Neodiprion lecontei: one gene and its partner. The protein of the gene in region 1 purifies or fractionates together with the protein of each later gene. This does not show direct contact. Links are inferred from orthologs where the notes say so. Each region holds a gene or a part of one and is shown on either strand. Other genes may lie near its edges.

Evidence for each region.
Region 2: the proteins of survival of motor neuron-related-splicing factor 30 (region 1) and splicing factor 3A subunit 3 purify together in Homo sapiens (affinity purification with mass spectrometry; 3 studies listed by BioGRID and IntAct, with this or other methods). This does not show direct contact. The link is inferred for Neodiprion lecontei from reciprocal best matches to the Homo sapiens genes SMNDC1 and SF3A3.

The regions. Positions count from the first base shown.
Region 1 is NC_060261.1:14,159,290-14,168,573, forward strand, and holds the start of survival of motor neuron-related-splicing factor 30, read left to right. Parts: upstream 1-2,827; 5' UTR 2,828-2,974; coding exon 2,975-3,013; intron 3,014-3,290; coding exon 3,291-3,514; intron 3,515-3,748; coding exon 3,749-3,898; intron 3,899-5,198; coding exon 5,199-5,349; intron 5,350-8,587; coding exon 8,588-8,731; 3' UTR 8,732-8,755; exon of another isoform or gene 8,756-9,227; 3' UTR 9,228-9,284. UniProt on the Homo sapiens protein: Involved in spliceosome assembly.
Region 2 is NC_060263.1:30,615,894-30,621,910, reverse strand, and holds splicing factor 3A subunit 3, read right to left. Parts: upstream 3,190-6,017; 5' UTR 3,095-3,189; coding exon 1,592-3,094; 3' UTR 1,253-1,591; downstream 1-1,252. Other genes in the region: HEAT repeat-containing protein 5B, read left to right, coding at 1-241, 352-533, 618-863, 967-1,189, 3,426-3,677, 3,763-3,925, 4,066-4,181, 4,264-4,548 and 6 more. UniProt on the Homo sapiens protein: Component of the 17S U2 SnRNP complex of the spliceosome, a large ribonucleoprotein complex that removes introns from transcribed pre-mRNAs.

The DNA of each region.
Region 1 (9,284 bases):
GACGTTATAGTATATTTATTTCATTATTCTTGTGTAGGCCTATTGAGATATTATATGAAAGTAAATATTATACTTATACTATATTAAGTTGAACAAATCAAATACATATCATAGCGTCTAAGATGTTAAATTTTAAGAAAAAAATTCACTAGAGAAGTATTTGGATTATACAACAGATTCCACAAAATTCAAGCCTTCGTTTTCACGCATATAGTAGGTACAAATATTTCACTCTCTCATAGATGTGCCGGCTTCTGGTGTTCCATACTCGGTACATTCTTGAAGAAAGAAATATTCTGCTATTATATATTGCTTATACAGCGTTATCTTGTACTTCTGAAAATTGAAAATCATGAATATTTTGAACGTTCTGTCAAGTATAACAGTTACACGAATATTTTTATGCACATTATTTTTGTCGAGAGACATTTATAAATTCAGAATATTCCATAATTTACACATAATTGTATACAAATTATACAGATGATTGATTGTAGAATCCAGTGACTTCGGCTACTAGGCATTGAGTCAAATGTACCTATATCAAAAACACCTCTACATGAATATACGTGTACATCTCCTAAATATTAATAACTATAATGTTTCAAAGGTACATATTTGAATGTGAAATACACTATTATATATATACATATTATACACATATATATATACAATATATATATCGTATGTAAACTCCTATACACGTACACATCGTATTTGCATCATACTTTCAGAGTAATACTTCATAACATCGGAGTAGGAAGCAATTCCTACATATTTACTTATATTTACTAGTGTTGAAAGGATATGCTATGCGTTGTACATTACATTCATGTAGGTAGGTAAATATTGAAGGTAGGTATTTATTAAACGCATGTAATTAAACCTAAGTAAATAAGTTGACGATAGCGATTTCACGGAACATTTTATATTGCATACCCTGAACGAATGAAGAATCTGGCTGGTTGGTCTGCACTTAGGAATGCGTAGATCAAAACGCGTGCAGCTGGTGGCAATCCAAGTCATAATAAATAAAATTGAAAAACACGCTCGTATACGTGGATCGTGCAAGACATGACGAAGCGTTAGGCAGAATTTAAACCTGGCACGATTATTCCGCATCACTCTGACTCTGATCCGCTATATGTGCAGTAATACTGTGGTTCGCGCTATTGTTGTACATCATTCGGAACATGATTTCTTTGCTCATCAGTGTAGGCAAAGGATAGCAGTATTTTTCTGACATCACAGTATCCTTCAATTAAAATTTTACGTCGTTAGGAAAAAATTTTCGCGTGTGTTAAATTATATGTATCAATCGTATTACCTCCTCTCTGTTTCAGTTGATAATTCTTTACTCTCTGGTTGTTTTCTCACATACAGTCGAATAAGGTTTGCAAAATATACAATACTGATATTTTCGTGGCTGTATCTTTGCGATGGTCGATATTTCTGTAAGATACCTGAATATTTGAGAAATATCGAATCTGCTCTTTAGATCCTCGCACCTGGTGCTGTGACTGAAACCTGCAGGCTAACCATAATGATCGTGCACCTCTAATCAACGTTCAGTCTATCTTTTTTTCATGTTTTATATTACTTGCATGCCACTTGCAAACAAGTTGGATACTACGATAATCCTTATGTGTTAGGGGCCTCGGAAAATTTTTATCCGGCCACCCCGAAAATCGGCTTCCCATAAATAACTGGTTTTAGCTAATCAGATTTATAAGAAAGAGCAAGTTGTACGTCAAGTTTCATGGATTTTAGGCCATTCGTTTGCGAGTAAATGTAATTCGAAACTCGTGCCGCAGTCGGCGAAGCTAATCTCCTGCAAGCTCCTCCTATACATGCAGTATGTTAAAAGTTGCAATACTTCAACACGTTTCCTTCATTTTTTTTAAATTTACACAGTGGTTTAATAATACTCACGATACTTTTTGCGATTTTGTCGAAAATTTTATCATCTTACAACAATTCATTTTTTTTTTACAAGCTCATTAGTTAAATTAATACCCTCGAATAAAAGAAGTTTCTGTGTAGAGACATTATATTTTGGCGTGCGAAAAATAATTTTTTTTTTTTTAACCGACAGATTTATAAGAGTAAACGTATTTTACGGATAATGAATTCCTAAACACGTAGATTTTAATGTTTGACCTTCCTCCACCGAGAATAAACTTTTCTTTGGTAATTATTAATTTATTATTAAGATAATAATTCGCCTAAAATTTGCGAATCTCAGAAATAAGCCGCGAGAACGGCGATGTATGGGTAAAAAAAAAATGGTACAGATTATCACAAGCCGATGTCATGCATTTTTTATTTTTGTTGATAATTTTTTTTAATTTTGCAAGTTCAGCTAATATTAAAAAAAAAAAACATCATATCGGCATGGATATCGGCACCCTTACGAATTTTCAAGTTAGAGGGTGGCAATTTTTTCCCAAATATCAGCATTTTCGTACGTAAATTTCTGCAAATCTCAAAAAGAGTCAACGGGGTCCGTGTACGTTCTAATTTATCAAGTGGAAATTCAAATATACCGCCATTAGTGGCTGCTGATGACGTCATAAGCTCACATCGACCCTTCCTACTTCTTCCTAACCAGCTTTATCAATGGACTCATACAAGTATAGGTATGAACCCGCCGTTAACTTCAAATACCTCAAATCGCAATTACGCTGTACGCAATTCATCCAACACACTGAAATGCATCTGAAATGTAATCGAAGGCATCTGATTGATATTGCGCATGCGCAACGATCACGTGACATGATTCGTCCATTTTGTTTCAATTCCAGCTCGTTCCGCTGTTCACGCTATCAGACTTAAATGCAAATAGAACTGGAATATGGTTCTCCAGCCATCTTGTAACTAACAAGTTATGTCTTTTATCTGTATCGTGGACTAGAAAGGTTTAACAACAGTTGGATCGTTTAATTGGTGATTTGTTAAAACGCTGTACTTCATCATGGATGATTTACAGAATTATAAGCTTCAACTGCAACAGGTTAGTTTCTATTCTCATGGCTAATATCTATGTATATAAAATCATCACTGTTTCTAACCTTACTTCTTATTCCGAATACGCTGAGTTAACCCCAAGAAATAGGCCAACGATATGTTTATAACCTGAAAATATTCAGATAATAATCGGTTTTTCCTTCGTTATTGACCTCGTAGATTACAAACGGATTACAAAACCGTTCTTTCTTACAATCTCGCTCCTTACCTACATACTTATGCTGAATCTGCAATTATATTTATGAATTTTGATAATATTTTAGGTTGAAGCCGCACTGACCACAGACCCAAACAATGAAGAATTGTTGAAACTGAAGATAGACTTAGAGGAAGTCATAGAGTTGACTCATGATCTGGTACGATCGCAGCAACAAGAAAAACGGCAGGCAAATGGAATGGATGCGAAGGATCCGATCCTCCTAGCTGTCTTAGCAAACAAATGGAAAATTGGGGATCAGTGCATGGCTCCGTGGAGCGAAGATGGCAAGTAAGTCACTGATCCAAAGTTTGTTTACTTAGTACTGTATATTGAGTTTTGGAGGACTGTAAGTATCGTCTTACAGTTAGACATGTTTGAAAAATACTCAATGATAAACATGTTATTTTTCATGGAATATATTATTTGACATATTCTCTTCATTACCAATTGACATCTGGATCTTTTTCCGTACCCGATGAAACTTAAAATATATTTCTATAGAAAGAATTGATTACTTTACAGATATTATGAAGCAACAATAGACACAATCAGTGAAGATGGTACAGTCAACATTACTTTCAATGAATACAAAAATACCGATGTCACTATGCTTGACCAACTTAAGTCTGTTGCTAAAAGGCCAGCTTCGGACTGGGCAGATCAAAAGTCGAAGTGAGTAACACATTCTGCTACTATCTTACAATTTTTAAACATTTAAAATGGCATTGTTTCCTAAAGATGTAACTTTATAATTTATCCATCAAGTTTTAACCAGTAATACTTATTCTTAGTTATGAATACAAGCCAATACGGATGGATATGTTGTCTCATAGTTAGATAATCATATTATTACTCTAATATTTTACATACTTTTGTTGAATGCATTTGTGATACCTAATACGCACTGATACCCAACTTTTATCCCATTCCTCTTGAATCCTGATAAAAATTGCTGTAACAATACTCCGGACATCCACAATCCCCAATGTCAATTACCCCATTGTTGGTCATTTGATGTGCTGTGCTATTAACCTTTTTTACTGGAGCCCAGAAGAAGGTAAAATTATTCAAGACTATAGCCCTTTATTACTGATTATTGTACATAGTTACGATCGGTCTATCACGATTTGAAAACTTGGTAAATGTTTGGTTTTAATCTCTCATAATTGATATGTGCAATTTTTCTGTTAGTTCATCTTGATTACCAGTCCAAGCATAATCTAACGAATATTTCACCTATATTGAAATTATTGTTATCAAAGCTATAGACTTATTATAATAGTTGAATTATGATTACTCTATAATAAACTAAGCAGGGAATCTTATTAGGATGCTATAAAAAAATACTTATTAAATATCAGAGCAATATGAGTATGTTTGATTGTTTACCCAAAGAGGCAACAAAATGTTACCTTACATGAATTGGAATTACATGCTAATAACTATTATATTAATCACTGCAGTAATAGTGTTTATTTGCAGAAGTTAAGACCGAAGTATAAAATTCTCATACAAAGATCAGTTTTGAAACTCAATCAAGATTTATTTGAAACATGCACAATTAATGCTAGCATGAGTGAAAAATGCAGTTAATACATGGGATTGTTTTATAACTTGGTTCAATGAGTATGTTAAAAATTGCTGAATAAGTTCCTGCCCGATTCAATATCCTGCTGACTCCCACCATCTTCGATTTCCTTTTTCAATCAATACGTGATCTTGGAAAAAAAATGTGGGAATAGTGACAACCGGTGGAGACAGCATTTCAACTGGACTCATTTCTAGTTCAGGGATTGTTCTGTTATATTTGGTTTTTAAAAATGAACTCTGCCCCAAATGTGCAAAAAGAATCAAATGCTCTTGTTCGCTATTCAATTAAAATCAATATGAATATACGTATTTAGAGCATCCTAATAAGTATCTCTTCTTTTTAGTAAATGTCTACGTGGATGATAGGTTTTTTATTTTGCAGGAAGATGCAAGCAGCAGCGATCGCTGGTTCAGATCCTAACAAGCAACGCGAGTATTTGAAGAAGAAAAAGCAAAAGAAGCTTCAAAGGTTCAAGGAGCTTGAGGAGGAGCGTGAATCGGAGAAAAACAAGTGGCTGGCTTTCACAACTAAGGTACGAATAATGAATATGCTATAACTATGTTGTTCAAGTAAGTAGATTTGTTGGTTAAAAATTCAGACTTTTGTTAATTTTATCACAATATAGTTGTGTCGAGTATGTATCAAATAACTGTATGTATATTGCTACACAGATATCTTTAAAAATACCAAAATGGAAAATACTGGAATTATAAAAAAAATCCTACAATACAAAAATAATAAATATTTATCGTGATCAAGAAATGGCAATATTGAATTGACTACTACAAAAAAATTCAGTTTTAGTGACTTTGTACAAAATAGTCTTCTACACAAAATTGGCCATCGTAGATTGCAATCGAACGGATCTCCCCGATTTTCAAATATTGTGTAGCGAGTCGAAGTGAAGCATCGACATCTGTAACTGCCTCTCCTCGTAATTCAAGCATTTTTAATTTTACGATTTTTTAAGAGATCTTCGTACCATTGTGAACATTAAAATTTGATATAAATTGAATACGTGTGTATTGCCTAATGAAATTACCTAAATAGTATCGATTTTCGACCAATCAGTCTCTTTAATTACCAATGAAACAAAAAGTTTGCGCACCAGGGAATGCATTCTTTCTGTTTCATTTGATTCCTGCAACCACTGTTCAGACATTAATTGTTATTGTATTGACAAGTTGTCAAACACTTTTATAGACCCTCATTACATTCGTATTTGTGCTACTGTCAGGGTGGCCACACACCTGGAAAATCTGAAAAACCTGAAAATATCAGGGAATTTTTATTTTAATCATGGAAAAACCTGAAAATATCAGTTTTCTATCATAGGTATTAGAAATGATTGTTTGAAGTGACAAATTTACTTTTTTACGTCGAGAAAAAAACTTGGCTTAAATTGACATTTTTGTACATTATATTTTTCTCCAATTCGAATTGAATCCGAACTGAATACAGAGTTAATAACCTGCACGATTTAGGTTCTAGTAACTTACTAGAAGTGGAAAAATGTCAGGGAAAACTGGGTATTAGATCTTAGAAAACGTGGAAATATCATGGAATTTTTTTCTCAAAAATTTGTGGCCAGCCTGACTAGTGCTGGAATTCAAGCCCAATTGTATTGTCACCACTAATCACACTACGGATATGTATGAAATCTTTTTCGTGTATCAGTTTTGCATTATCGCTGTATTCTCTCTAGACATGTAAAAATTAATTTTCACACACAATTTGCTGCCACGCGACGTGAAAAGCACCGCTACGCTTATCTTCACAGAAATTATTGCTTGTGAAGAAATATCGTCAGTCTGCTTTCGCACACGTAGCGTATTTCAATATTTCCGGACATACAAATTATTAAACTTCGTACCATATAATATACTACAATATTCAATACGGTTAAAGTTGATATTAACTACTTACAATTGAACCTCGATTAAACGCGGGCGCAGAATTTATCCCTTCCGGGCTCAATTTCACGAGGCGAACCTTTGTTTACTTACATACACTTTTTTTCTCGTTCCGTGTGCACGAGCGCGTTTCAATGCGATGCAAAGTGTCGACAACCGCCCGTGCTTCACTCCGCACGCCCCAAAAGGTAAACAAACCAGCCGAACTGTTCGTTTATTATACGTGGTTACTTTCAATTTGTACCTCCTCGAGCTTCTCGCCCACGTTCAATTACGTACTTACTTCAGCTATTTGTCATCAAGAGTGTTTTAAAAATCTTTTTTAAGATAAGGAGATTTCCTAATCGCTTTCGACGTTGTCGTATATATCTCCCAAGTATCGAAGTCCACGTATCTTAGACGCAAAACAGGGCTTAACAGCCCAAGTTTACACGCAATTCGAAACAAAAACATTCCAATACATTTTCATTCGACGTAGAACCAAAGAAACCTAAGAATTTACTATTACGATTTTGTAGAAGCCATGCCATTTCTTTATTTTTGCGTCTAAGGAAAACGGATTGGAGTGCTTTTATTCACAATTGCGTATAGAATAGGGCTGTTAAGCCCTTTTTCGCGTTTGAGATACGTGGACTTTAATATCTGGAGATATATACGTCATCGTCAAAATCGACCAGGACACCTCCATAAGAGAACGTGTACATACCTTCAACTATGAAATTTCATCACGCTGAAGTTTGTAACGTTATTGCATTGATGCATTTTCAGAAATAGTCGTTAGTTGACAACTTTAGGATTACCTGAAATTTAGTACACCGTTAATATAACATCAAAAAATTCAGTTTTGTAAATTCAACTTATTCACTTATTCTAAATGTCCAAAATAGTAATTTTTGTTTCAAACTTTCGATGGGGTATCGTTACTAACTTCAGCCCCGTAATTTCAGGTAAATTCCAAGATACGGTTAATATGAAAGGTAATTTTATTTGCATATGTTTTGACCTAGTTTGTTGTCATTGTTGGCATTTATTTTCCAACTTTTAGCAATTATCTCAAGTTAGTCACGAACGACGTCACAAACATTCTCATATTTTCACTAGCCATGTCACCTTGAATAAGATTGCTTTCATCTTATCGTTAAAAAGTCGGGGTCTTACATGAATATTCTTGATAAGTGTGGCCATCGACCCTTATACCCATGATATTGAAAAGTTTGAAATTTTTGTATTTTTTAACATCTAATTTTTACAACTTACACATTTTTACTATCTTTTAGAATTAGAAAACAAAGTTCTACGTTACGCGTAACTATCACGAATATTCACACATAACACCGATTTGTTCAATTAAAAGATGACCCCGGAATCGTGATCGAGACGACGTGGTAACGAAAATATGTGAATAGTTGTAAAGACCTCTGTGATCTACTTGTGATGATTCTAAATATCGGATAATAATCGCCACACTAAGTCACAACAGATATGAATGAAAAGTATTTCTCTATCGCCCGTGTCTTCTTGAAAATTGCTACAAATTTCAGAGTTGCCCCTTGAAAATTGCATAGCAAACGTGTTTCGAATCGTTCGTGCTTCTCCGCTTGTCTATGAACCGCGCAGTCTCGTAATTCCCGAACAATCGAGGTACAACTTCAGTAATAATTAAGCAGGCACAACTAACGTCACCAACGGATGTCAATACTCTACACTTCAGCATTTATTTTCTCACTGTAAATGCTTACTTCTATATTATTGAATTTCTAAACATATATACGTACCTTGCATTATTGGAGAAGAATAGTAATTTTTCTTAAGATGCAAATTAATCATTTCTTCGAACTCTTTGGTTTTATTTTACAGTCCAGTAAGAAGGGGGTTGTGAAGAAGAGTATATTTGCGACACCGGAAAATGTCAATGGTAGGGTAGGCATTGGAACTTGTGGAGTCAGTGGTCGTGAAATGACCAAGTTCAGCAATGGAGAAAAATGGCGCCGAGGTACATAAGTCTGTACATACGAATCACTATGTGTAAGAAAAAGTTTATACTTTTGAACTAATATTAAATGTAGTTAAGGCAAATCTCGATCAGATGTAAACTGTTCTACAAGTGTCGTGTAATAGAAGTGACTACAGCGTTTAAAAATACGGTTTAATCTTTTTATTTTTAAAAATGTTGATCGCGAAATTAATTTAAAACGCGGTTACTTGAGTTATATCGCTTGTTTCTGCAATTTTTAGAAATGACTCTACTACTGATAATAATTGTTCAGATATGCTATTCACCTCTGCTGTGATGAGCATGCGTAGCACTGGGACTTTTGGGAAAGTTTCGGTCTCAGATATCCTCGTTCTGCTAGTGTTAGAATTTTTTTATCCAGCGTTGTTACATCAATCGTTTTTGTACATAAATTCTAAGTAGGCAATAATAAACGCTGCGAAAAGCCTTCTTTTTAGTCTCCGTACAATTTATTCTTGTTTTTCTGTCCTTTCTCTTTGTCAGATTGGAATTTAATAGGTGAATATAAACTGATGCCTGATTTCTGTCATTCATATACTA
Region 2 (6,017 bases), on another chromosome or scaffold:
GCTGTTCTAACTGAAGATAGTACAGCGGATGATGAAGGTGGTGAAGCAGAAGGTGATGATGATCAGGCCGAATTTCACGCAGAAGAGTCAACACGGCAACGTCCAGCTGTCTCACCACGTTGGCCGACCAGAGTTTTCGCTGCTCAGAGTGTACGACGGATTATCACTGCTTGTCTTGTCAACAAGCAGGCACACTTTGATCTGGCCTTAGCTAAGGAAATGCAGCTCACCAGAGGAAGAGGTATGTACCACGCCTGGATTTTTCTTTCCTGTTCTTCTTTCACAATCAAAATGATTGGGATACTTATGGCCCATATTTTGTGATTTGACAATTTAATTTTCACCTTTCAGGAGATTTTCTAGTACTACACTTATCAGATCTAGTGCGTATGGCGTTTATGGCTGCGACCAGTGATTGTGATCCTTTGCGATTAGAAGGTCTCAAGACCTTACAAGAAATAATTGATAAATTTGCCAAAGTTCCGGAACCAGAATTTCCTGGACACTTACTTCTGGAACAATTCCAAGCACAGGTGATTATTTTGCTAAAATTTAAAACACGAAAAACTACTCAGTCTATATTCCCATGATCAAATAACGATAATCTTATCACAAAGGTTGGTGCTGCCTTGAGACCAGCGTTTTCTACAGAAACAGCATCTCACGTCACCGCTGCAGCTTGTGAAGCTTGTAGCGCATGGATTGGTAGTGGTGTTGCAAGGGATCTCAATGATTTACGCCGAGTACATCAACTGCTTGTATCGTCGTTGGAAAAATTAAGAGGCGGACATTCTCATCAACAATTATACAATGAAAGCCTTTCTACGTTAGAAAAACTGGCCATATTAAAGGCTTGGGCTGAGGTAAATACGTAATTCCATGTTACAGATGATTCACCACATCATTCAATAATTGCAATAAGCCATGTGAGAAATTCATCGCGTGTGTTCTGATTCAATGTTGTAGGTGTATGTGGTGGCAATGATTAATGATGGTTCAGCACCTGGAAATGTAGAGACGTCATCAAGAAATAAGGCTCATACAACTGCCGCAAACGAAGAAGAAGGCTTTGGCGAATTTGAGTTCCAGAATGAAAGTTTACTCAGTTTAGTTCAGCCAGAGTTATTAAGTCTGAGTCAACATTGGTTAGCTGCCCTGCGCGATCATGCATTACTCTCCCTACCACCTGGTAAGTTATCCCACTCATATAAAAAATGAATTTTGGAAATACAACTGCTAGATATTTGCGGAATTTCATTTATAAATACATTTTTATTAGGTCCTTTATAGTTCATCTTTTCTTACAAATATGGTCACAAAATCCATTTGAGAATTGGTGAATATGTAGTTGAATTTGTTACAGCATAATATTTAATCTATATTATACCTCGTTCGTTTGAGGATAATATATTTAAATACACATTAGAATTTATAAAATTATTAATTCTAGACACGAATCTCTTCTTTAGCTTCGTGTTTAAACATGTGTTTGATTAGTATAACAGAATCATGCATACAAGAATATGGAATGAAACAAATGAAGCCTGCGCGATACATGCTGTACAAATTATTACATTAATTGCGTTCAAATTCAAAGTAGACCCTGGCGTTTCAAATCCTCGTAAGTTTTCCGATTCACAACATTTCCTAGAGAGTCTTCAAACTCCTCTTCTTGTTCCGGCTGCCAACGTTCCGACTGTTTTTGTGCTTTGAGCTTTTCCCACAGAGCTAGAGCGTCCTCGATCTGTGTGACGTTGGCAAAATGCGCTGTATTTGGTATCCCCAAACATCTCATACCGTGAGCGTGTCTCCACTCTGCAAAATGCCTTTGGAAGGCTTTGGGTCCCTTGTACGTAAAGTTTCCGCAAATTTCGCAATTGTAGCTGATGTTGAGACCGTGAAGTTTGTACAACCAGTATGGTATAGGCTTGCCATCCCAACCGAGGGGTAGATTTTTCGGATTATACGGAACTTCGTTGTCATCTTCTTCTTCCGACTCGCTGGCACTAGCATCTGCATCAGAATCACCTCTCTCACCCTCCGTTCTCGCCTGTTTTCTTTGAACATTTTCTTTAGTGGCGACACGCTGACTAGATACCAGCTCGGCAAGCCTATACACCTGAGCCTCGAGCATTGCGATCTCCTTCTGCTTTTCCACGTCTCTTCCTTTGCCTGGTTTTCCCGGTTTGTTTTTGGTCAGCAGACTCGGATCTAGAGAGGCTTGTCCCTTAGTGCTAAACAACCTCTGCGCTCTCTCTTCCAAAGTTCCACCGCACTTAAGACCCAGCGCCAGTAAGGCTGATTTTAATCTGTCCAGACCTAGCGAGGCGAGTTCTTCCCAAGAGGAAAAGGCGGAGAGCTCTAAGTGCGCCCCAACGTTAGTTAGAGCACTTCCGGTCTCCTTTGGCCACCCTGGAAAGCTGCTGTTTTCCCAGTGTACCACGAATTCTCTATTGGCTGTTTCGATTTCAGCATTGAGATCAAGGAGCGGACGAACCCTAGTCAGATATTCGGTCAAGTACTCCAGGAGCGCCTCGACGTATCTGCGATATTCTGCGTTCTTACGCTCTCTTGGAATGTCAAATAAATGATCGAAAGTCGACAGATAGGTTATGTAATCGACCTTTTCAATACCTTTCAGGTTTATATACTTTTCGTAGCACTCGTGAAGATCGAGGTATTTCCCGTAGCCCTCTTCGTCGGTAAATTCGACGAGATTTGCGAGTTCCTCTGTTGGATTTTCTCGCATTTTAGCCAACTCCTCGAACTCTACCGACATCGGGACGCTTATCTCGTTCGGATGCCGCCGATAGAATTCCTTGATGGACTTGAGTCGCGAATAAAATTCGGAGAACTCGTTCGGTCCCGACAAAGCCTGGACCTCGTCCTTTCGTTGGCCATCGTTATCCTCGTAGAGATCCTGCAAATGCGCTGTGCTGTCCATGTGTTGGTCTAATAGCATTTTCAGCCGATGTTCTGAATTTATCGTTTCTCTATGTCCCGGCTTCTTGTGCAACATTTCTTTGACCATTGCGTCCATGAGACGCTCCCGTTCTTCATGATAGCGACGCTGTTGCTCTAAAATTGTTTCCATCCTATTTTTTTCTTCACTAATGTGCACTCGAATGTACTCTGTACTACTTCACACGTAAACGTACTATTGATTACTGTGTCCGCCATTTGCAAAATACAAAACTTGGCTCATACGGCTCCAGATCGTAGCGCCGTGGCTAACAATGAGACCAAGTCAATCACTCAGGCTGTACGTCAGACTCTGACGGTATTGTAGTTTTCAACCGATGATTGAATATTGAATACATTCAGGTTTCCTTTTTCATTTTATTTTCAAAAGTGGATTATAGAGTCTTTTGATGCAGAAAAAAGAAAAAGTAGAAGATACCAAGGGTGCAACTTAATTGTTTCAGAATTTTCAAGTCAGCTTCCTCACGATGGAGGAGCTTTTTACACAACTGATACAATGGAATCAGCTCGTCCGTATTACCTTGAGTCTTGGGCTCCAATACTTCATGCAGCAACACTGTGGCTGAATGCTAGAGGCTTCGAATCTCCAGAACCTGCCAATGTCGATACTAATACGAAGAATAAACTTGGCCGTAATAATAATAATGACTCTACCAATACAGAATCTAATGTCGAACGATTCCATTTATTGTTTGGTAAGATTTTTTCTGCATACCTCACAATGAAAAATCTCATTTTACAAATTATTGCATTGAACATTCTTCCATATTTCGCTTCAAGGTATATGCATGGAAGCTTTGTGCAGTCCTCGATCTTCGGAGTCTACCCAAAGTGTAGAGACATGTCTGAGTGCTCTCTACACCTTACTTGATTCTATATGGGCACGCAACGTACTTATGGTTGATCGGTCCCTTCCTATTGAGCTTTGCAATGTTCTTCACAGGTAAGTTACAGAGCCAATACAAAATCTGAAAATTGCTAATTTTATTCGATGTATCAACAATTTTTAATTTCATTTTTCATTATCCTACGTTGCCTTTCGCTGGTCAACAAAATTTTATTCATCTTATTCTAACTATACAGGTTGCTACTGACGCGAGAAAGCTATACCATTCAAATGATGGTAATGGAAGTACTGAAACAAGTAATGCGTGCTGCTCAAGAAGACCTTGCAGATCGGAAAAAATCGAAACTCAAAGGTTGTTCATGAAACTCGTTTTTATCAATGATTCAATACATTATTTATTTTATTACTAACGCATAGAATTCGTTCACTTTCAGAACTTGTTCCTGCAAATCAAGAGTCTAAAGACACCACAGAGGTCGATGAACTGGGGGAAGGGCAGGAAACTGGTGACCTTATTCCAGGACAATCTTTAGTTTTTGCTGTACTAGAAGTTTGCTTGTGCTTACTCGTACGACAAATACCAGCGTTGAATCCCAGTCCAGGTGGTGCGACAACGGTGTTGTCTCATCGGGGATATACAGCATCGGAGGAATGTGGCAGGCTCATTGCTGCCACTCTGAATGTGATGGAAGGTCTTCCAAGGCTTTGTTCTCCACAAGGTTGGTCCTGAAATTACTTGATGTGTCGATGTATATCATCGATAATTTATAATAAAAAGAATTCTCAACAATCACGTTAAGTTAATACTTGTTCGTAAGAACATATTTTAAATCATGCTGATAAGGTGCATATTTTGCTATCAAGCTTTAGTTCGGTTTATTTTAAGTTTTACATGTACGCGATGAATACTTAAACTGCATTGTCTCACAGGTGCCATTGCGATTCTACCCACGTTGTTATATTTAACAACTGGGGTAATTAGAGAGACTGCGATTCGCACAGATAACGATAATTCTGGGGTCGGACCTGGAGCACCTGTGCACGGGGCTCTGCATTGTCTCAAGAGTCTTATGACCAATAAATACGCAACTGATGCAAGAAGTGAACAACAGTGGAAAACTTTGCTTCAGAGTGCTCTTGCTAAAATAGTCGATCTTGCAAAAACAGGTAAGCCATATTAAATCTAAAATCATCGTTACTGCATGTACGTACCTCATTACGACGTACATTCATAATGATTGGATTGCAGGTTGTGATGAAACGAAAATGGATGAAGTTGCGATGATGTTAGGGATTGCAGTGTTTGTCCTCCACGCATCCCCTGAGGTTGTGAGTGCGCCGAACTTACAGTACCCTTGCATCAATCATTTTCGGCAGTGTCTTCAATCAGAAAATACTCTGGTGAGTACGAACTTTCGTTCTTGCCCGGTCGTCCTAGTACCTTATCATTGAATGAGAAAATGTATCTTTCTTAAAGGTTAAATTAAAGTGCATACAAACATTGAGAACAATCTTCATGCACTATGAACGCAGTGTCAGTACTCCCTACATCCACGCTCTCGCACCAAGGTTGGTGGAATATCTGTACAGTGAATCGAGCAAACAAGTATCAAACGAAACTCAGCTAACTCTTACATTAGAAAGCATAGCAACGATTGAAGCACTCATATCATTAGCTGAACCTGCTAATCGTGAGTAGATAATAAATTGTAACTGCTTTCACAATTATGGTTCTTTGTATTGATAAATTAAATTTTGCATGCAAACCAGGAGATCTTATGCAAGGTAGGTGACGATTTCCAGGGTGTTCGTTCTATCAGTTATTTTCAATAATATCCACACCAACCAACTACATGGTATCATGTCATTGGATAAAAAAAAATATAATTGGGAACTTTTTTCAATTTTCAGGTATTCAAATGCTTACTCTGTTGGTGCCTATTCTGATAAATTATCTACTGGAAGGTGATGCCTTGCGCCATGGATCCAAATTCCAAATCACTCTCCATCAACAGAGTTTTCAATGGCTGAATAAAATAGGACCAAAGTACCCTCAGGTTTGATACTTATAATTTTTCTGCAATGAATTGTACGAATATTGCATAGTCCACATAAAATATTGCATATTGTGCAGGAATTTAAGACGTTGATGGCACAATCTACAGAGTTGAAAACAAAGCTCGAAAAC